3 linked regions of the Lepisosteus oculatus genome follow. The protein of the gene in region 3 purifies or fractionates together with the protein of the main gene of each other region. This does not show direct contact. Links are inferred from orthologs where the notes say so. Each region holds a gene or a part of one and is shown on either strand. Other genes may lie near its edges.

Region 1 (7,249 bases), on a different chromosome or scaffold from region 3:
CCCATGCCTGTCGAAGGACATGGTGAAGCGGGCCTCTGGCCGCCTCGACGATGCCAACCCCAAGCGCGTGGGCCTGGCGCGGTCTCCTTGGCACCACCATGACTGGCGGTCCCAGCGCGTGCAAAACCCGGCCACAGCCTCAATGGCGCGTGAATCCCTCCCCCCCTTCCAGCCAACGCGTTGGGAGCGCGAGCCCACCCTCGGGGATCTTCTCAACACCCAACTCGTGGCAACAGGCGCCGTCTCTTTCTCCGTGCAAACGCGCTCCACCGCGGCTCCGCTGAGCTGTTACCTTTCCCAGTCGTGCAAACATCACCCCGAAATCCGACCGTCGTTTGACTTGCTCATTGGCTCTTTCCGTTCTTTTTTTTCCCCCTTCTTACTCCGTACGTCTCACCCAGCTGGAGAAAACATGAGTGCTCTCAGTCACCTACGTCAGAGTCCTTGTGGTGGCACGCTCACGTTCTCGCCTAACGCGCAGGCTCTGCCCAGTACGGGACAGCAGGAGCCAGTCACGTGGGAATACAAAGCCTCTTTGCGCACGCACCGAGCTCGGCTAAAGCTTTTATTTTTTAAAATCGGGATCTGTGCGAGCACCGGCAGCAACGAAGGAAAAGCCCGCCTTTAAAAAACGCGAATGCACTTTAATCGAATGGGATTTAACGTCTTTATTGGTCGGCGTTCAAAAGAAATACTTTCACGTGGTGCCTGCCGTGTGAAACAAAATAGCAGCTAGTGAGAACCGATACAGCGGGGCACCGAGGCAGACAGAGCAGATGCAGAAAACGAAAACCAAGCACAGGTCAAACACTCGTTCATCCTAGAGAGAAGCCCACCAGCCGCGTAGTGGAGGTGCGAGCACGCATTTCAACAAAAACAGCGTTAACAAGCAAACACCCCTTTTCATACCGACACTTAAAAACGAAAGAGATCAAGAAAGATACATTCTAGCCAGCACATACGTGAGAAGAGATACTGTATAAGTAATATTGCCACTAGAAGCTCTTGGTCGCTATCTAGTGACACCAATCAACTAATTAGTTGTGGGTTTTTTTTAAATACAACATTTCGGGATAACTATTGCACAGTAATCTTACATTTGAAAAATCCCTAAAACTACCGGCTCCTGCGCAAGAGCTACTACACTATGTTTTGCCAGATTACTATGACAGAACTAACTAGCAGAAGCAACGTCCACGAGTGACAGCATTTGAGTACACAATCGAACCGCAGCGCAGGCGAGAGAGCTGTTAGTCTAAAATCGCTTGGAAACAACAACATAAGGAGTGCTCGCCCTTTAAACTGTAATTGCGTGAACTTTCTGTTATGGTCACCTTTGAGCTACAATGTCTAAGCTTACAGAGCAGCATTCTATTATTCTAAGAGAATAAAAGATTTATTTTACAGGTTTGCTTTAGGCCGTGTAGTATTCATATACAAGACCAGCCACAGCAGAAATAAATCTTGAATTTACTAAATAACCCAGAAATATAGTAATTGTCATTTGCTTTCCATTTAAAACAGTATCGAATTTATATATTTCAGTATTCCTCTAAACTATTGTTTTACATATACTTTATTCGATTTATATGTATATTTAGAAAGACATCTCTACATACAGTACAATGTTGTTTGCAATTGTGTGTTCTGCCTTTCGTGAAATATCAGCTATCTTTTTTCCTTCATTTTCCTGCGAGAACTAGGAGATGAATGTGCGGTTCAATTACATTAAACGCATAACATACATCAGATATGGGGTTTTGCTCCTACAGCGAGAAAAAAGAGAGAAGGAAAGTTCCAATTTCACTGCCAATAAGCATTCACACCCATTTCCCACACCTTTTGAGCATGGCAGATAACCAGAAGATGCTTATTAAATCTGAGCTTTTTATCCGGCCAACACGAACGTCTTTCAGTCCGCGTCCACGGCTAGATAAACCTATTTCTTTCGAAGGCTGCAGCCCATCCGACATTGAAAACGAGATGGGTCCTATTGGCTACTGCCTGGTCACATGCACCCCGAGCCACAGGCGAATACCGGCAGAAATGGAAATTGAACTGCGACATTATTAAGAGGGAAACTTTGGACTACGAATTCCTAAACTGACCCGACGATAAACAAGACCCCTGACAACTGCGGTCACCACGGTTTTACGCTCCACAATTGCTAGATCGCCAAGGGACATTCATCCATTTTTTTTTTGGGGGGGGGGATTGGCTCGAAACCGCCTGCACACGCTCAAGCTTTTTTTTGTCGTTGTTTCAAAACGTGTCGCTTAAACGCGTGATGTGCAGTGCCCCCATTGTAAGAACAGCACGCCTAACACAGATAAGTGTGAATCCGCGGCCACACGGGTTTCGAGCGAGCCTCATGACGACAAGGAAGCACGGCCTTCCCTTGGCTGCCGGCAGTCACGTGTCCCTCCGCAACAGCAGCAGTCCCAGGTACATTTGAGGGAATGGCGGGCGGTGATAGGGCGAAATAGAAACACGGATACTCAAAGCCCCGTTTTTTTTTAAAAAAAAAAGCGCTGGAAAAAAAAAAGGTGTCGAAGGCAGAGGCTCTTTTCGGTTTCAATACAAATCTCGAAGTGCGCTAAAAGCAGCCTCCGTGCTCAGGCGCTAGGTTTGGCGACCCGGGTCGTGCACCGCTCTCTCGCCGGAGTCGTGTGCCAGTGTCGTCAGGTGACCACCGGCAGCACCCTCCCTCCCCCTCCCGCGGGCTGCGCGCTTTTAAGTTAAAGGCAGCCGGCCGGCTTAAATCGACGCCGGCGAAACGCGTGTCTCGAACCAGCCGGAGCACGCTGTTAGAAGCAGAAGCGAGCGCTTTACCTCGAAAAACAAGACTTTGGCAAGCGGGCCAGTCCTCCCATGCACGGCTCTGCGAAGGCGCGGACCGGGTGAGAAACTCGAGGGGAGTGCAGGGCTCCGGTACTGCAGCGAGCATGCGCTGCTGCTAAGCGCTATTGATCCTCGGAGGTGAGAGGAGGCTGGCGGGGGTGCCGCTTGGAGGCAAGAGGCGGATTCGTCTCGAGTCGCGTTCGTCATGACCCTAATCGATGACTATAACGCGGGATTTCAGTGTATTCAGAGAAGATGAGACCCCGCAACATGTAGTACTGGGCCCTAATTCTACAATTCTACAAGATTTTAAGGCGTTATATCATAAAAAAAACACACCGAAGAAAGGGATGTTTGCAGAATTACTGAAACTGAGCCGAATTCTGGCAACTCTCGCAGAGTTACTGAACCTGTAATAACAAAGCACTATTGCCCCGAGAAAACAAGAGGCGGAATTTCACCCCGGTCTCCGGTGGCCGCAGTTGACAAACCCACGACGAGAGCCCAGCGTGTTCCCGGGGTCTCCGAGAGAACACTTCAGTTGTTCTTTTGTTTATATACAATTACGAAAAGCACAACGTGTTCCAGCCGTTTTCACCGTTAAGTGTTGTTCCGTGCTTGTGAGTGTTGGGGGTACGCCTCTGTCCGGTCCTGCTTTTGGGGGACACAGGGGAGGTTGGGACCGAGCCGGCCGTTTGCTGGTCCTGCCTCACGCTAGAGCCGGGCTGGTTTTCCGAACAGAGCCTGAGCCATCCTGGGCTTTGCCGCCCACCCGCGAACCTGCAAGCGCTACACGATTAAACTGTACTCGTTTCAAACAAAATATTTTTTCCATTTTTTTTAGAATGTCTACGCCATTTAAAATTACATTAAAGTTACATTCTGTTCACTTTTTAACTTTTCACTATGCCGCTTTTGACTGCGCTGAGTAGTCAGGTTTAACATATTTTAAAAAAGGTTGGGGCTGGACTGACGGTGTCCCAGCTCCCGGGACCTGGGATTGGTTGTGGACGTCTGCGTGGAGTTTGTCTTCTCTCCCCGTGGCCGCGTATGTGTCCCCCCCCATTTTCCTCCTGCTGTTTAACGTTAATAAGCGTCACTAGTTTATCCCCCGTCAAGAGTGTTTGTTGTCCTGAAGGGCAGATCTAAGAGAATCGGTGAGAGGACCGATCACGGTTCAAAATGGTGTCTGGCCTTTTTAAGTACTTACGTTTTAAGTAAGTTGCTCGCAGTTAAATACACAGAAGCCAAATAAACTAAAGGTAATAATGCAAAGGAACAAGTAATAGGTTTATTCCATGCTGAAAAAAAAGAAGAAAGAGAACACAACGTTTCGGCCGTGGAGCCTTCTTCAGGTGTGAGAAGGCTCCACGGCCGAAACGTTGTGTTCTCTTCTTTTTTTTCAGCATGGAATAAACCTATTACTTGTTCCTTTGCAGTCTACGCATGCTGACGCAGCTACCCACCTAAAGGTAATAATGTATTCGCTTTCAATTTCAGGAACAAAAAGTATCTTTTAAACTAGGATCACACCTTCCACCAGTTCTCACCGAGATAGTGTTTTCTTTTTAAACCCCTCCAGTAATTTACCCAGTTCAGGTTTTCACACCTCGGTCTTCGTCTCTCAGACTTTAGTTTGTCCAGAAGGTCCCCCTCCTCGCGCATCATATTCCTACTCTCTTCATCTTCCCCACCTCGTGTTAGAAAAAGGCTCCACACACCACACTTTGAGTTTTTCTACTTTTTTTAATATTTCGGCGTGGAATTAACATTTACACGTTACTAAATCGGATTATAAACCTGCGGTCAAAAAATAGCTGTACATTTTGGAGAGAAGACCTGCTAGAAAAAGCGACCGCGGATGATGGCGAAAGAAAAGTTACGAAAACTAGTGCTGAGAAAAACCCTAAATTATGTCTTTGTCACCAAGGCGCACCTCAGATCCCTTCAAACGTACGAACATTTCTGGGACTATATTTACCGTACCTCTCAAACAACCTGCTAGTTTATTTGCCAAGGCATAGTTTCACTGTCGCAAAGCAGATGATATTTGTTAGGTTTCAGACAGCAATCACCCCTCCACAAATTTAATCTTTAAACGTAACGAGAGAAATCAATTGAAGAAAAAAACACGACCCGGAAACTCGGCGTCGCGGTGGCCCGGGTTCAAGACCTGGGGTGCTGTCTGTGTGGAGTTTGCATGTTCTCCCCGTGCTGGCCTGGGTTTCCGCCGGGTGCTCCAGTTCCCCCCTTACAGCCCAAAGACATAGTGGTAGGTTCTGGCGTAAACTGGCCCTGGTGTGAGTGTGTGCGTGTCTGAGTGTGTGTCCTGCGATGGCTTGGCGTCCACGCCGGGGTGTACGCTTTGCCTGTTGGTAGACTCCGGCTCCCCCTGGCAGCGATTTGACCGAAGCGGCTAGATAATAGACGGATAGACCCGGAAATTCTCAACTCTCCCCCGACCCCCCTTCCGCCCTCTCGCCGCGGACGGCTGAGCCGCTTTCATTGCTCATTAGAAGGTACTTACACAGTATGTGGACTGAGCTGAGGAGAGGATGTTTTTTTAATGTAGCCTATTCTTTCACAATATGAAATGGTAGTGGAGTGTGATCTACATTACAGGATCAGATTAAACGAACGTAAATGAATAATTTATCGCCCCTATGAATAGTCCAACGGCATTTTCTCATACTCTCAATCAGGAAAATGTATAATCAGGAAAAAAGAAGCGTCAGTGTCCTTAAATACCTACAAACGTTGCTAGGATGAATGCGTTGTTCCGTTTAATTTTATTTCCACGTCTGCGTACACGGTGCAGTTTAAACCAGGTATTATTATAATTCTTTTTGAGGCAGCTTGAAATGAGCTCGCAAAGAAAGCTGGGCTCTCCTCTATCAAAATGTGATTTTGTTTGTTATCCGCTCGTACTGCACGTAAGATAACGAGAAAACGTCTTTCGTGTCATGAAAGAAAGCAGTCGCTGACTTCGTGCACGTTCCCTTAGGTTTGAAGGCTTAGTGTGAGCTGATAAGGCGATGCCTTTCTTAGAACACCAGTGTGTACAGATCTGTAGAGAATATTAATAAACTTTACTCGGCGTCTGAAAAAAACCCTCAACTTGTACCCAATGCGTGCCTGAAGACTTATATTAAGCCAAATAAAGCATTCAGAACCGACTGTCGCCGTCGGTATAGAGCTTCGTTCAGCGTCACTGATAGAAAACGAAAGCTTCTTTTGGTCACGTGATAGGGAGAACGTGTTTGAGCTTTCAACACGCGCAGGGAGAAATCTAAGGCAGAGAGCATTTCGTTTCTCTCATGAAATGTGACTTATGAACAACACAACACAAGGCAAATTTGTCCCACGCGATATTGCAGCAGGAGATGGCTCCGATCAACCTTTAACAGAGCTTCGGAATGGAGCGATTGGCATAATTAAAAGCGTCGAAGAGCCCACCCCCAGGGGTTAATTCTATTATCATTGTGGAAAGGAGACCTGGCTGATTCAGAATGTATCTTGACCCGACAGCCTGAAATTGAAAGAAGGCCGTCTAAGATCATATATGGTCATATCGGATAAAAAATGAAACTGTTACTGTAGTGAGACAACCAAGCCGATCTTCAACACACTTAAAGCGTTAAATAGCACAGGTAGAACCTCCTGAAGCAGACCTGTCAACAGGAAGTTTGGGGAGAGCTCCATCCTCCACTGAGACTGAAACATGTTAGGTTAGAGTGGGGGTGTGTGTTGTGAAGGAGTTCTCCTCAATGCTTTTAATGAGATGTGATGTTGTGAATCGCAGTTTCTGCTTCATACTATCAATTCAGTCTTCAGTACTAAGGGACTGTGTATAAAATATATCCATAGCCTCGGTTAAGGCTGTGGGACAAATAGGCCATAAAAGCAGGGCGTCTCGATAATAAAGCACTTGGTATCTTGCACCAGCCTATCCAATGACGAGCCGTACACACCGAATAAGCCGACTGTCTATGTCGCTTTTTACAAGTACACATAGCTGAAATACTCATCTCTGTCTTTAATTTAATACACAATACATTACGTTGGAATTCAGCCTACGAGAAATTTCACAAAAAACAATTACCTCTTGAAAAGACGTTTCATAAATATTGTTTGTGATGATGCATTTCTACACGATGAACAACACTCACTGGGTTTATATTGTAAGGCCAGTGGAAAAGAAAACCATGGATTTGCGATGCCAGCGTTTCAAAACGTTCTGCTGGCAAAATGATTTGTCAGGTGGGTTTGTGAAAGTAATTGGGACCATATCTAGTACACTTAACGCTAGATTGGCTAAAATACTGTTTGCTTAGGATTATGCTTAACAATGTTATAGTTAATGCACAACATTGCCTTTTTAATATACTTTCACTTAAAAAAGATTTAA
Region 2 (7,038 bases), on a different chromosome or scaffold from region 3:
CGTGTCGCTAAGGACCCCAGTCATCCTGGTTTCTCACTTTCCTCTCCCCTGCCCTTGGGGGCGGAGCGGTAGCTCTGTGGCTGAGGATCTGCGCCTGTGGCTGGAAGGTTGCCGGTTTGTATCCTGCAGCCGGCAGAGGAATCCTACTCCGTTGGGCCCCTGAGCAAGGCCCTTAATCCCAACTGCTCCAGGGGTGCTGTACAATGGCTGACCCTGCGCTCTGACCACAAGCTTCTCTCCCTGTCTGTGTGTCTCATGGAGAGCAAGCTGGGGTATGCAAAAAGACAAATTCCTAATGCAAGAAATTGTAAAGGGTTAATAAAGTGACGTTATCTTATGGTAAGCAATATGAGCATAAAGGCACGAACTTCCAGATTCAGAGATAGCTTCTTCCTGCAAGCTGTCAAGTTATTAAATTCCACCTCTACTCTGCACACTTCTTGTGCTGACTTTTATTTACGTTGTGTGTTAACTTTGTTGTTGCTGCTGTAGTTTGGTGTTCCCTTAATTTCTCTGTATTGGAGCATACATGCAAATAAGCATGGCAGTTGGGCATATCACAAATAAGCTGAACTGCAATGAGATTTCCTACTGTCCAATTAAAATAACCACCTATTGAATTAACTGAAATGAAAGTGAAATTAACTGCGTGCTCTGCATCTAAAGTATGTGGTCATGAGGTTTACAGATTACAATATCCTCATTTGAGAAAATAATAAGTAATAAGTGAAGCATATGAACTGACAAACAGCATACATATTCAAGAGAGTTTTCATTATTGAATGAAACTATAAGTAAATCTCTCCTGTGCTCCTGAAGACCAATAATATTTTACCGCTCTCTGTGCTCGGTTTCAGGAATATCATTATATTGGTGTACTGTTGCCGTAAACCAAACATTAACCTTTGTGGACTCCTCGGTTTGCTTACAAACAGTGCAGCTTAATATTGCCAAATCAAACCAAAGTGTATTTATCAAATGCACAACGTGCAGCAGTCGTTGTTGGCAATGAAATGAAAGCAGACATACAGCACATGGGTGAGAATTATACTACAGACACACCCCTTACAAGCAGCTGAAGTTTCAGATAAGCTCCTGCGCTTCACTGAAAAACTAATTAGAAGGCTTTTGCATTTTTAGCCCCATCCAAATTCCAAGGGGCTAAAAACATGACTGCAATCCGTTTTAAAAGGGTCCAAACAGCATAACTAAAGCCAAAAAAACATGAGGCAGGAGAGTTTCCAAGTCCACAAATCAGAATCTCTGCAATGAACAAGAACTGCGAGGCAAAACACAAGAAATCAGGTACTAAAGGGCCTGTTGAGCTTCTGTAACGGACCAAGGGTGTTGCTCGCTGCCTTGTAAAAAAAAAAACAGCGCATCTTACCTAAAAGAAGCGCCTACCCAAAACGTGTAATATTTGTGAACCAGGGCTTTTACGCTTGGAGCAATTTGTGAATTGCGCTGTAGAAAAGCGTCTGTTTTCACTGCGCTTGTATTTCCGGTATTCGGATCCATCTCACTTTGTGGCAGCATCTGTGCAGCCGACCAATAAAAACAAACTCCGGCCTGACAGCGGGCTCAGCACCGCGGGTCTAGGTAGTCAGAAGTAAGGCACTCCAAACAATGTATTAAAGAAAAATACATTTTCCAATGTCACATACAGAGCATGTTACAAGAGCTGGTACATTTTACATTTTACACAAATCATAAAAACATTATAGCGCTATGTTAATAGTGTATATTAAAACTAGTTAAAACTAAAACTCATCCTGTAAAGCGCTTTGAGAAGCCACCTTTAAAGGCGCTATATAATAAAGCTTATTATTATTATTATTATTATAATAAGTGTCAAGTGTAAACATGACAATATTTTAAATACAGTGTAAAAATCTAATAAATATCCCTCGGGTTGATCATGTCTCCAAAACCTTGCGCCGACAAACGGGGCTTTTAATGTAAGTGCGCCTACCTCGATCTCCGCGTCGCCAGCAAACTCGCCGAGCTCCGTCCCCGCACTCGAGGCCAGCGGCCCGTCCAGGTAGGGCGGCATGATGGGGATGGCGTCCTTCGTGACCCCTAACGGGGTGATGTGGTGCTTGAGGAAGTGGTCCTCGCAGATGCGGTGGTGGTCGGACAGCACCCGCTCCGTCTCCCTCAGGGCGGCGAGCCACACTTTCACCCGGGCCTGGTCTCTCGGGAAGCTGAAGAAGCGCTTGCGCGGCCGGTTGGCGAACCCCGCCTTGGGGTAGGTTTTGTTGGGGCACCCCTGGACCACGCACTGCACCATCGCGGCCGGGCGCCCGGCTCGGACGCTCACGGGGAGCCAGGCACACACGAACACACAGCACAACGAAACGAAACGAAACAGCCGCCTCCCCAGCTCCACTCCCAATGGCCGCTGAAGTAAGCAGAGGCTGCACACCGGAACCGCAGCAAAACACGTGTCTCAGCCGGGGCTCAGTCTGGCGGCGCGGAAGGGCAAACTCACAGCGGGGTGAGGGGGGGCTGGCAGCCTTACTGCCCCCCCACCTACTCGCTGGCTGGCCGGCTGGCGGAGTAGGGTCACTTCGCCGTTTCCGCGGCGCTGTTAGGGCTTAATCAAAACAGCCAAGCACAGGAGCCGGGGGGCGTCTGGCACCTCAGCTGTGCGCGGTTGAAAACAAACGCGATACCTTTGCCATCGTTTTTGTTTTCCTTCAGCACCACCGATGCATCTGTCCTTATTTGTTCCCCACCACCACGACTCACTCACTCCCTCCGGGCAGTATTTGAAAAATGCAATTGTTTTTATCCTCCCCAAAACAAAAACAACTACTGGACCGACTGGTTTGTTTTTATACTTATTGTGCGGTTTAAGTCGTCAGACTGCACGAACACACTTGTCTTTTGTCCGCGTTTGTCTTGTTGGTACCTCTCCGGACGTTTCTGCAGGGCGAGTATAATCCGCGGCCCGGCGATCTTCTCCCTTCCCCGGCGTGCGGGCTGTAAAAACCGGGATCGCTCCGGCTGGGGCCCTCTGATTAGCTGCCGGGCCTGTACATCAGCGCAGAGCCCGCCGCGACCTCCTCCTCCTCTGATTGGATTTGAGAGCCGCCAGTTTCCCCTGAACGATTGGCCCGCAGACAGAAAAGGGTTTGTTTGTTGTGAGCGGCTGTTGGCTGTCGGCGGAGCTTATAGCCCGGCTGGCTGTCAGCTAGTAGCAGGCGAATCTGGGGATCCACTGGGGGAGAGAGAGAGGGGGATCTTGTACAAAAAACCTTCCTAATCATGGCTACAGCAACCATATCCTCTTGCACTGGCTCGACCCTGCTGCAGCCAATTAGCGATATCATCAGTCTCCCTATAGACCAGGTAATGCATGAACATTTTTACACGCACCGATTGTGTTTTTTTTTTTTTAAAGCCGAGCTTCTTGTACAGAGCGTTATGTGAGCGTCCGCAGGTCGTGTTGCACAGCCCGGTCACCCGCGATGACCAAGTCTCTCTTCTTTGCTTCTCTCGGGCACGACGCGATGTGGATGATGTTGGAGATTTTGTTGATCTTTTTTCTGCCCCTCCAAAAAAAAAACGTTGTTTGCACTGTGTTGGTTTTATTTGCACCCGAGCGTAGCGGTTTCCAGTAAATCTGGTCTTTTGCCAGTCGTGGACGTTGAGTGTTAAATTTTCATTCATTCTTGGAAATGATCTCGGGGATCTGCCGAATTGTCATTTGCAGTTCGAGGAAAGGTTGTTGTTTTTTGTAACTCGGTGTGGTTTTTTTTTTCTTTGCGAGGCTATTGGGTAAAAATACTAGAACAGCGAAGCAGATTTGTTGGCGATGCGTTGAAATCGCCACTAAAAAAGGGACTGGAAGTTGCTGTACGGATATTTTCAGGATTTTCTGTACACTGGGGGAGAGGGAGTTGGCTGCTTGCAGGGCAGTCTTCTTCCTCGCTGCCTGGATCCGCGTCTCTGTCCTCGATGTGGGTCATTCTCGCATCCTCGCATCGGGAACTGAGGCACGTCTTCATGTCTTTAATCTGTAAAAGCGACCCCAGCCGAAGCCTCTGTCACGATTCCTCGCAGATCTCGGCGTGACACCGGCCGTGTCGCCAAAAATATTTGCAGGGCGAAAGTTGTCCGGTAACTTCAGGCGTTGGTGCAGAGCCCGAATTAAAACGATTCTGAAATGTCTTCGTGTTCACAACAATCTCTTGGAGTGTGTGGCGTGTGTGTTTGGTTCATTTGTCGACTTCTTCAGATTTGGGTGTTTGGCTAGTAGGGTACGGATGTCGCCCTGTCTTGCCCAGTTTGATTTGAATCCGTGCATGAAGTTGAACGAGGGGCTTTTTTTGAGGCGTGAACGTATTTATTTGATAACACTGCACGGTCAAAAAAGCTTGTGGTCAAGAAAACGTCCGGGTGTCAACGGAACGGCAAATTTGGCTTTCTACTTTTTCATTCGTCTCGCTAAATCTTTCTTGTCCCCCCTACTCATAATGTCCTTAGGCAATCCTCAGTCCCACCTTTATAGTTGCCTTCTGCATTAATTTTGGAAGATTGACAACAATATCTAATCTGTTTTGACGTTCGGTTGATTTATTTACGGGAACTGAAATTAATGTTAGAACAAGTTACAATCAAGTTCTATAAGAATTGTGGCGTGTGTGTCTAATCGATTAAAATGACCGAAATATAAAAGACCCGTTCCTTTTGTCTACCCATTTTCATACGGGATGGATCATGGAAGCCTTTTAAGTTTTATCATTTACATTTTCTGACGGCTATCTCGCTTCATGACAGTTTGAGCTTGGATTAGATAAGATCGGTGGCAGCTGTGCGTTTGCCTTCGGTTTGAAATCAACGATGTGTCCGGGGGTGTTAAGTGGTTTGTGCAGTCACGTTTTGTAAAAGAAGAGCAGAACCATGACTTATGTGAGCTCCTTTTTTAGAAAAAAAAATTGCATTGTAACTTCAGTGCCCTTGCAACATTGCACTGGGTAAACAATGGTTTAAGGGTACCAACAAACCGACACCCTTGGTCACTGCTGTGCACGGATCATATCACAGCTCCAGATCGATGCCTTGGAAAACAGACGAACGCTTGGCGTGAACGTTATTAACATCTCGGCGACAATTGTTAGTGCAGTCAACAATACAGTTAACAACAGCCGAATACAGAGAACACGTCTGTTGGCTTCCAGTTAGCCCTGTATTCAAAACACAAACGCGCTTGGTGTCTCCCGTGGGCCCCCCACGCAACTTCAAATACGTGCAGTGAAAGGAGTAAGGCTTTTCTTCTCACGGAAGTGTGACATCTGGCCTGTCATGACAAGTCAGTACGGTATTTACAGTTCGTTACTACTATTACTAATATTAAATCAGTCTTCGGGGAAACTAATTCAAATGAATATTACTTTCTCAGGTAATCGATATGGACTGGCATAGTGATGCGCAACACTGGGGTCCTGGGTTCAATTCTGCACTGGGGGTGCTGTCTGTGTGGAGTTTGCATGTTCTCCCCAGGTTTGTGTGGGTTTCCTCTGGGTGCACTGGTGTGAGTGTGCGTGTCTGTGATGGACAGGTGTCCAGGTTGTACACCAGCCTGGCTCTGCTTGCTGGGATAGGCCGTGGCTCCCCCATGCCCCTGAACTGGGAGAACGGTTCAAACTTGGATAGATGGATAATCCGTAGGCTTTATTTTCTTTCCTGGAGCTTAGTCTTGTTGAACATCGGCCCGGCTTCAAAGTGGCATTTAAACGTACCTCCACTAATTCAGGAAATAATTAGGACCAGAGAACAACGTGTTTTACACCCAGCAACTGCGTTACACAGCATGAACCTGTTGATCTCAGCGCTGTGTTTAGGGAAGGTAGAGAAAAGCGATGGCAAGGAGCAGTTCTATTTTTTCCAGTTTTCAGATGTCGTATACAGTGATGTGCAGGTGCTTTTTCAGTAAGTATTAATCCATAAAAAAACACTCGGAAATTGATGCTAGCAATGTTACAATACAATAAGATTTCTTGTTTGCTTTCTCAGAAATTTGTTTTGCATCCAAACAGCTTTATTGTTGAGAGGATGCATTCAAACTAAATATAACGTTACGTTAATGACAGAACACTCCCACAGGAATCCACACAGCTACACCGCAGTCTGTGAGTTGACTTCCAACATACTCAACCTCAGCCTGTATATTTGCACAACACCCTTTCATTTTGCACTTAAACACTGAGCGACCTGCTCATATCAAATACTTGGAGTAACTTGATTGACTGTGGGGTAATGAAGCCTTCGTTTTGTTAAGTCTGCATTGAGGGACTCTGAAACATCTGTTTGAAGGTATCAGTTGACTTTCTTCATACTTATCCCTAATGTGAGGGACTCAAAGGACATACTAACAGCTTGTCTCAAAAGAGTCTCATTGTAAGCAGTTTGAAAGCTCTGCTCAAGTGGCTGCCCTATTAACTTATAACACATCCTCAAGAGTCTGCATATCTTGGCCTTTTGATTTGTTTTTGTTTTTTGCAGCCACTTCAGTCACTTGATGCTACTGTATTTCCAAATTTGGGAACTCGGGTCACACTCAGTATTGCTAACATTAACACAGTATGTTTTTGATTATAAAGGAACTGAATTATCTGTCGAATACATTTCACATTTTTAAGTATATACACGTGTGCCTTGAGGCTGGTTTGATGTAATCAGGGTGTCTTCAAACCTAGTCTTGAGAATTAACTCTGAAGAGCCATGTTTTTGGTGGTAAATGCAGTGCTTATGAAATTTTTTTTGACAATGTTTGGTAATGTTGGTTCTAGCATTCTGCATAATAGCAGCACAAATACACTGCACAAGTTTTGTTGGTGGCTATAGAAGAGTTTATGTTGAAACGGCATGTCCAGGGTTTGGTAATGTAGTAGTGGAGATCTGGGGTTTTAACCTTATCTCTGTCATATCTTCTCCTGTGATCTTTGTGGCTCCCGGACCAAACCAGTTTCCTTCCACAGTGCTGGCTTGTCTTTGGCTGTTTGTTTTAAGGGTATTTTGTGGGAGAGGTTT
Region 3 (6,960 bases):
TGCAAGTTAAGTCGGGGAACAGCAATGTCATTTTGGCAGCAGACACAAATGTCATATTTTCTGGGACGTTTACATGCCAGGCAAGGCTACTCTTGAGTGTTTAAACAGAATCGCAAGGAATCCATTTCGCCAATTAACATTTAAAGCCAAATACCCATAAATACTGAGCACAGAGCACTTACGACCCAATAAAAATAACTATTTGGTGCATGCGGTTGTTGACTGGGTGAAATGGCTTACAGAACCCATTTTCTTTAGGCCTATTATGCCTACATATAGAATCATTATAAGTACATGGCGGTTAATTCAAATTATCTTGAATTTATGCTGATGACCTGTGGAAAAAAATGTATATACCCAGTAGAGGAGAACCTGAAGATACACCAGTTCCAGCTCCCCTCTCCATTTCTTTTGATAAACTTTTTGATAAAATAAGTAAAAGAAGATAGAATCAAACTGCATGTGTCCAGATATGGTGTGGATATGGAATCACAGATGATAAAATAGGATATTTATTATTTCTGAAGTGCGAAACATCACATTTGTTACTAAGTTAGCTGCCAATGTTTAAAATAGATTTTTATTATAGACATTTACATACACTAGGTAAAGTTAGCTTACAGTATTTATCAATGAAGAACAGAGACCCCATATTTCATTGTTAGATATACATAAGATTGCCACCCTCTAATTATTTGAAACAGACTGCCTGAGCCCTTTGCTGACGTTTTCACATGTTTAAAGTTTTTCCTTGGATATGTGCCTGAAACCATCAGTGCAAGTGCCTCTGCTTGTGGTACACACAGAAGTATCTGTCCCGGCTTAGGTGGCTGCACCAAAAACACTGAATCTTGACATTGGCAGCATTTTGGAGCATACAATTAATACAAAAAGTGACTGGTATTTAATATCCTCAATTATTTTTTCTTAATGAAATAATTCATTTTATCACACAAAAGGCTTGCTCATTCTGTTCCAACTTCCAAACCAGTTTAAAAATGTTAGTAAACTGAATCAACTTTGCTAATGGTGTTAGGATGTGAAAACTTCAATTTTGTATTTACTACACATCTAATCAACACATTGGCCAATTCAAATACCAGATGTAGTATAATGTAAGCGATTCATGGTGGAATTTGTTCTGTAGATCTGCACCAACACTAAATCAGAAAGTGATTTCACCAGGGTTTTTCTAAAGCAAATGAAGATCTGGTGAACTCCATATACTTTAAACCACAAATACTTCTTAAAATAGAACTTATGCCATCATATAATTGTGGTCAGTTCACACTGGCTGAATATCAGGGATTGCATTCAATAGCAAGGGTCAATAATTCAGGGCACCTTTCCCCTGTGAAGAATGTCATAACCAAAGCATAAGTACATAAATCATCCAAACTGATGAACCTTGTTGTTCACAAGGCAAGCCTTGACTTCTGCTCTGCACAGCAGGAAGGACAAGTGAAGACTCAATCAACACTCCCCTCCATGCTAATACAGAAGCTGAGACCCTGTCTATGCCATTTAATTGAAAATTATAAACCGAGATCCCACAGAAACCACACTGCATTTATTATTAACTCATTCTATGTATTCTGGCTGCGATAGAAACACAAAAACCACAGTACAGTATCTGTTCTTTATATTACTGTAGCTGGCTTTATTGTACGTCATTAAAATGATTATGAGTGAATCGCCTACATCATTATTCAAAAGAAAAAAACATTTAAAATGAACATCAATTTTTCCTGTGTTACTGGGGTGTTCAAAGACATGTAGGAAGCAGACTTTCAACGCTTAAGACGAAATAAATGTTCTCCCGTGTCTTAATGGCAATGCACCAGACGGAAATATTCACTTGATAATACTGAACACAGCGCTTACGTATTTCATGATACAACAAATGATTCATACGATGTGCTAGTCTAGCGACTCAGGATAAGTATAATCGTAGGAGTTGGGAGAAACATTTTGGCAGGATGCTGTGGGAAAGCCCAAGACAAGCGGTCAGGCTCATGTAAAGCAGCCGGTCGCACGGTATGCCCACTGAAAATAGCAAATCAACTTCGCATAATAAGCACCGGTTAAAAATGATAAAAGTTGCAGATACAAGTTAATTTTAAACAATTTATATCGCCTACTTAGTTTCACCGCTCCAAGTATGTATTTTACAAACAAGCAGGATCCGTTGTGAAATAACAATGACGATAAGGAGATTCACTTATGCAAAAGAAAATTGTCATTCATCAATATCTAATTAACCCCGTTATGGTAAACATTAGCTACCTTTTCAACATTCAATCATTTTCGCTGAGCATTCCGGCCAGTCTCAGGTATTATTGTTTTTTTTATGTTCTAAAGCATCAAATGTAAAATACCTGCCCTTGCACATAGCATCCTGAACGGTGACCATTAATAATAGCGATTAAATAAATCTACTTACCGTGTTGATGTTCCCTTCCTGACATCACACATCATGCACTTGAAAGCCTCGGCGCTGTTCCTGAATGTGCAAACGCTACAGTCCCAGTATCCTTCGTCAGAAGAAGGCTTGGGTTGCCGCTTTGGCCTTCGAACAAAATAGCAGACGGTCAACACTGGTTTAATGCAGCGCTTACAGCCCCTTACATTCAGCTTTGAACACTTGTTTATAAACAAAAAAAGTACGGACCCCTTTTGACTTCAAGAGTCAAATTTACGAGGTATATGTTTTGACACTGTAATAGAACAGCCCGTCCGCCATGGTTGCTACACTACAGCGGCCACCTCATTCACACACACAGCGTTGTAATGCTTTAATTATTCAGAGCCGCCGCATTTTAGAGCAACCCTCTTTCTTATGCATTGGTGAACTGCTTTACCTTGTCGGGCTCTTCTTGTCTCCCATGTTGCTGAAACCTGATTTGTTTATACTGAAATACGAACAGAAAAATTTGATACAAAAAATGACTAAGGCGCCCGGATCACAGCTCCCAGCTGTCGTGGAAACTCCAGTAGGAGGATCACGTGGTGGGGGGCTAACCAATCAGCCGGCAGACAATTTCCTGAAAGAGAAACATTAAGCTGAAGGCGGCAGGTTTGCATATGATGGAGGTTACGGATGTTGTTTTGTTTTTTTTCTTTCTTCTCGCTTGAGTCATCTGAGGTCTAGCGTGATCCAAGTCGTATGAGGATCTTTGTGTTTCAAACTGATGTTTCATAAATATTAATCCAAACGGGAAAATCAATTTCTTCTCGTCTCAAAGGCAGTTGGGGCGTGCGGTGTTTATGTCGGATCAGCTGATTCAACTGGGGGAACTGTGCTACAGATTAAAGTTCGAAGAAATGCTTTTCGGTTCCAGAAAATATCTGAGACTCTGAGAGATGGAGCTAAGCTGTAAAAATATTTTTACATCGTAATAAAAACTTAATCTGTCTATTATTTTAAAAATATATTGGTCTCGGTGACAGTTTTCCCTTCTGTTTCTTGAGGATCATTGTCCACTGCATCATCCTGAGATATTTTGGGACATTTCTGTTGATTGGGATCCCCGAAGGAATTATACTATATGGCTATGTTAATGATTGAAGAGATCTTTTACATCGATGTTAAACTTCAGGGACTCCCAGTATTTTGGGAAAAAAATGATTGTTCTCTTAAAATGAGGGGGACTTCATCTTCTTAAAGTCGGTCTAGCTTTCTTTGAAACCTGCAGAAAATGAATGGATGGATGCCCTTTAATCTACCCAACATAGTAGTGGATTCTATTAATATGCTATTACAAAACGAGCTTTGGGAAACATAAATGTCATACAGTACTAAATGAGGGACACAGGACCGCAAATGGGTGGAAGTGTCCATAAATTTGGGAATTTTGCAGAAGCAAAAGGTAGCATCGTTTAAATAATAAGCATTCACTCAAGCAGTGTGTTCTAGGTGGCAGGACAGCCTGCACATAGCAGTCAAATATGTCAGGATAAGGAAACAGTACAGGACTCAGGATTCCCTTCCCCTAGCAATACCAAAGCTCTCCAAGAAGGACAGTTATACAGGTGCAGATAATGGAACCAGGCAATCTACACACAAAGAATACAACATTAGTTTACAGTTACAAGTAGTTACCTAAATAAAGTAATGAAACCAGGTAACAAAGCACAGCCATAAACAAGAGAACATTATAAATAGATGCAGTCCATGGGATTACCAGCTTCTCATAGGAGGTGAGTCACCGGCTGCCACAGTGAGGTGTAAGGTTCCCTAAAATGGTATCCTGTTACTGTACATGGTTACTGAAAACATAGTGACAAACCATACTATCCTCAAACATTTCCATCAGCTAGATACCATCAGCACCAATGATCAACTTCGAGTCTGATCTTGTTAGGTCTCAGAAGCTAAGGTCTGGTCAATACTGGGAGGAGAGGCCTCCTCTCCTTCTCTAATTAGTATTGTTGCACAAGCAGGGGACATTGTTCCCTCTGAACCTGATTCAAAGTCTTAGTAGGATGACCAGGAATGCTTTTAAGTGATAGATGAAGTATATCGTCTCCTATTTGTAAAGCAACTAACTTCTAATAAAAAAATCTCTTTTTCCCCAAGCTTTGGTGTTGTGTTTGGATATGTCACACGTTTATTTTGAACATTTGTTTCAAAGCATGTACTGTATCCTTCCAATGGATTCAAATGCGACTCCTGAACAGGATTCCATATGCTGATAGAGAGAGGTTGTGATAAAGAAATGCATCAACTTTACACTCAATTCTTCTGCCGTGGACTTCTCAGCATGGCGCACTGCTGATCTGCTTCCTTCCTTTGCTTCTTGGCAGTGGATGTTTTCAGAAGCTATTATTTGTAGAATAGTTGGCATCACAAGTAGACGCTTTTGAGAAATATATGAAGGGATCAACAAGCACAATTTTGTATGCTTCAAGAAAGAAATTGAAATAACAGTAAAATGCGCGAGCTGAAGATAGTGGTCAGGATGCACATGAACAGTTATTCTGATGCTTCTGATCTACATTTCTGCAGGCACTTCTGCTACCATGTTGGGGCCTCTTGAAACAGGATGGAGTACTGTCTCATTTACCTTCTATCTCTGCCACTTGAAAATTGCAGGTTTGATCTCTGTCTGTCTCTGATAATGGCACTTGTCTGCTACCTGCTTTAGAATCTTTTTTGAGTTCTAATGGACATATGTATTTCTTTGTGGAATTGAAATTTTCTGCAGGCTATAACCCTGCCACAAATCATCCAGATGGTTGTGTCAGATTGCAGGTCATCTTTCTGGGCACATTGTTTGACTATTCTGTGAATGACTGGATCAGCTCTTAAGAACAGGCAGCTGTGGCAATACCTGGGTTTTGGCCAAAGGTTTAGACTTTCTTACATACAGTATATAAAGTATGTTTAATCTTAAAGGGACAATTTATATTATCTGTATTTTCTTAACATTTTTGTTGTTGGATAAACTATAGCTGTTTTGTGTTATGTGTAAATTGTAAATTTTCATATCACTATTTTGTTTTCTGAACAAATGTAGAAGCCTACAATCTATACTCAACATCAAAATAATAACAAGTGTGCTGAGGATGTACTGTACTTTAATGAATATACATGACATTGGTTCTTTATGCTGATTAACATTTGCCATGAATAGGTCTGATAAAGAGGCGGTCTATTGTGAAAGTTACATACTAGTGGTTTGTGTGGTCAACCCTGAAAGTAATTCAATCTGTAAAGCGTGGTTTGCTACAGGTTGCAGATTCTGTCCTAATCCTCTTGTAGTGCCTGGACAGGGGGACCCATGGCATAATACAGCCTTTAGTTTAGATTTTTGCTTTTTTTTTGGTAAATCAAGCCATAGTGAATTTCTGTGTTTCACTTTACTGATTTTCACCTGGCATTGCGTTTAACAACAGGTAAAATCACCTCACTCTCTCACTAATAAAGTGATTTAGAACTTATGTAATGGTCAGGTACTTGAGTGTGTCACATTCTAGTTATGAATGAGCAATTAATTAAAATGATGATTAAATATTTAATTAATACATTAAAAAGAGCAATACATTAAGTGGATGCTCAGTATTCAATTCAATAAGTTGTTTTCATTTTCATTCTATTTTAAGACCTAACCAGAAACTAGAAATATGAAAAGAGTAAGAATATATGTACAGGTACATCCATCCATTTCCTAATCCCTTCATCCAATTTTGGGTCACAGAGAAGCCAGAGCCTATACTCATAGGATAGGTAGGATATTCGCCAGTACATCCCAGGGCACAGAGACACACACAGTCATACCAGGATCAGTTTTTCCCAGAAGCTAATTAACGTACTAGTATGTTTTTGGAATGTTGGAGGAAATTGGAGCACCTGGAGGAAATCCACATGTACATACGAAGAACACTCAATGTACTCAATGTAGATAGCACCTCAGGTCCAGAACTGAACCCAGGGCCCCCAGCGATGCTGACCTCTGTGCCACTGAGCTGCTCAATATTTACATATGAAATGTATGGAGGATTCAAGAACTTAAATGAGATCACAGATGATATATAAAGTGTTATGAAACAGTTCTTTTCTGCACAGTGCCAAAAATATTAAACAACAGTGCATGAAGTCTGTAGGACTACTTTCTAGGAATGTGAGAGTAATGATTACTTCTTGCTTATGGGAACATCTATTCCAACAAATTTCTTAGAAAAAAGCCCTGTGAAGATTGCCTTCTGCATAGATAAAAACAGGTATTCTGGGTGTAGCAGAGCAGCACTACACTTGTTTTCACACCAATTTTCTCTAGGGAGAAGATGTAGTGATGGAGTGGAAAACTGCAAAGATAGGATGAACAGATGGCAGTACAGTTGAATAAAAAGTGCCTGTTCCATTTAAAAAAAATATTTATTGAAAGTAATGTAAATGACTTAGCTTAATTACTTACATAGAATACTTAGACTGCTTATTTAGAATATGTGATTTTGACA

What was found. The genes of interacting proteins can lie anywhere in the genome.
Region 1: the proteins of yaf2 (region 3) and mgaa purify together in Homo sapiens (affinity purification with mass spectrometry; 5 studies listed by BioGRID and IntAct, counting the BioPlex papers as one, with this or other methods). This does not show direct contact. The link is inferred for Lepisosteus oculatus from reciprocal best matches to the Homo sapiens genes YAF2 and MGA.
Region 2: the proteins of yaf2 (region 3) and e2f6 purify together in Homo sapiens (affinity purification with mass spectrometry; 4 studies listed by BioGRID and IntAct, counting the BioPlex papers as one, with this or other methods). This does not show direct contact. The link is inferred for Lepisosteus oculatus from reciprocal best matches to the Homo sapiens genes YAF2 and E2F6.

Annotation. Positions count from the first base shown.
Region 1 is NC_090703.1:12,652,378-12,659,626, reverse strand, and holds the start of mgaa (MAX dimerization protein MGA a), read right to left. Parts: upstream 3,003-7,249; 5' UTR 2,948-3,002; coding exon 2,833-2,947; intron 448-2,832; exon of another isoform or gene 293-447; intron 264-292; exon of another isoform or gene 199-263; intron 1-198. UniProt on the Homo sapiens protein: Functions as a dual-specificity transcription factor, regulating the expression of both MAX-network and T-box family target genes. Functions as a repressor or an activator.
Region 2 is NC_090697.1:12,186,230-12,193,267, forward strand, and holds the start of e2f6 (transcription factor E2F6), read right to left. Parts: upstream 3,003-7,038; 5' UTR 2,915-3,002; exon of another isoform or gene 2,882-2,914; 5' UTR 2,291-2,881; coding exon 1,973-2,290; intron 1-1,972. UniProt on the Homo sapiens protein: Inhibitor of E2F-dependent transcription. Binds DNA cooperatively with DP proteins through the E2 recognition site, 5'-TTTC[CG]CGC-3'. Has a preference for the 5'-TTTCCCGC-3' E2F recognition site.
Region 3 is NC_090702.1:30,288,395-30,295,354, reverse strand, and holds the start of yaf2 (YY1-associated factor 2), read right to left. Parts: upstream 3,010-6,960; 5' UTR 2,888-3,009; coding exon 2,862-2,887; intron 2,570-2,861; coding exon 2,444-2,569; intron 1-2,443. UniProt on the Homo sapiens protein: Binds to MYC and inhibits MYC-mediated transactivation. Also binds to MYCN and enhances MYCN-dependent transcriptional activation. Increases calpain 2-mediated proteolysis of YY1 in vitro.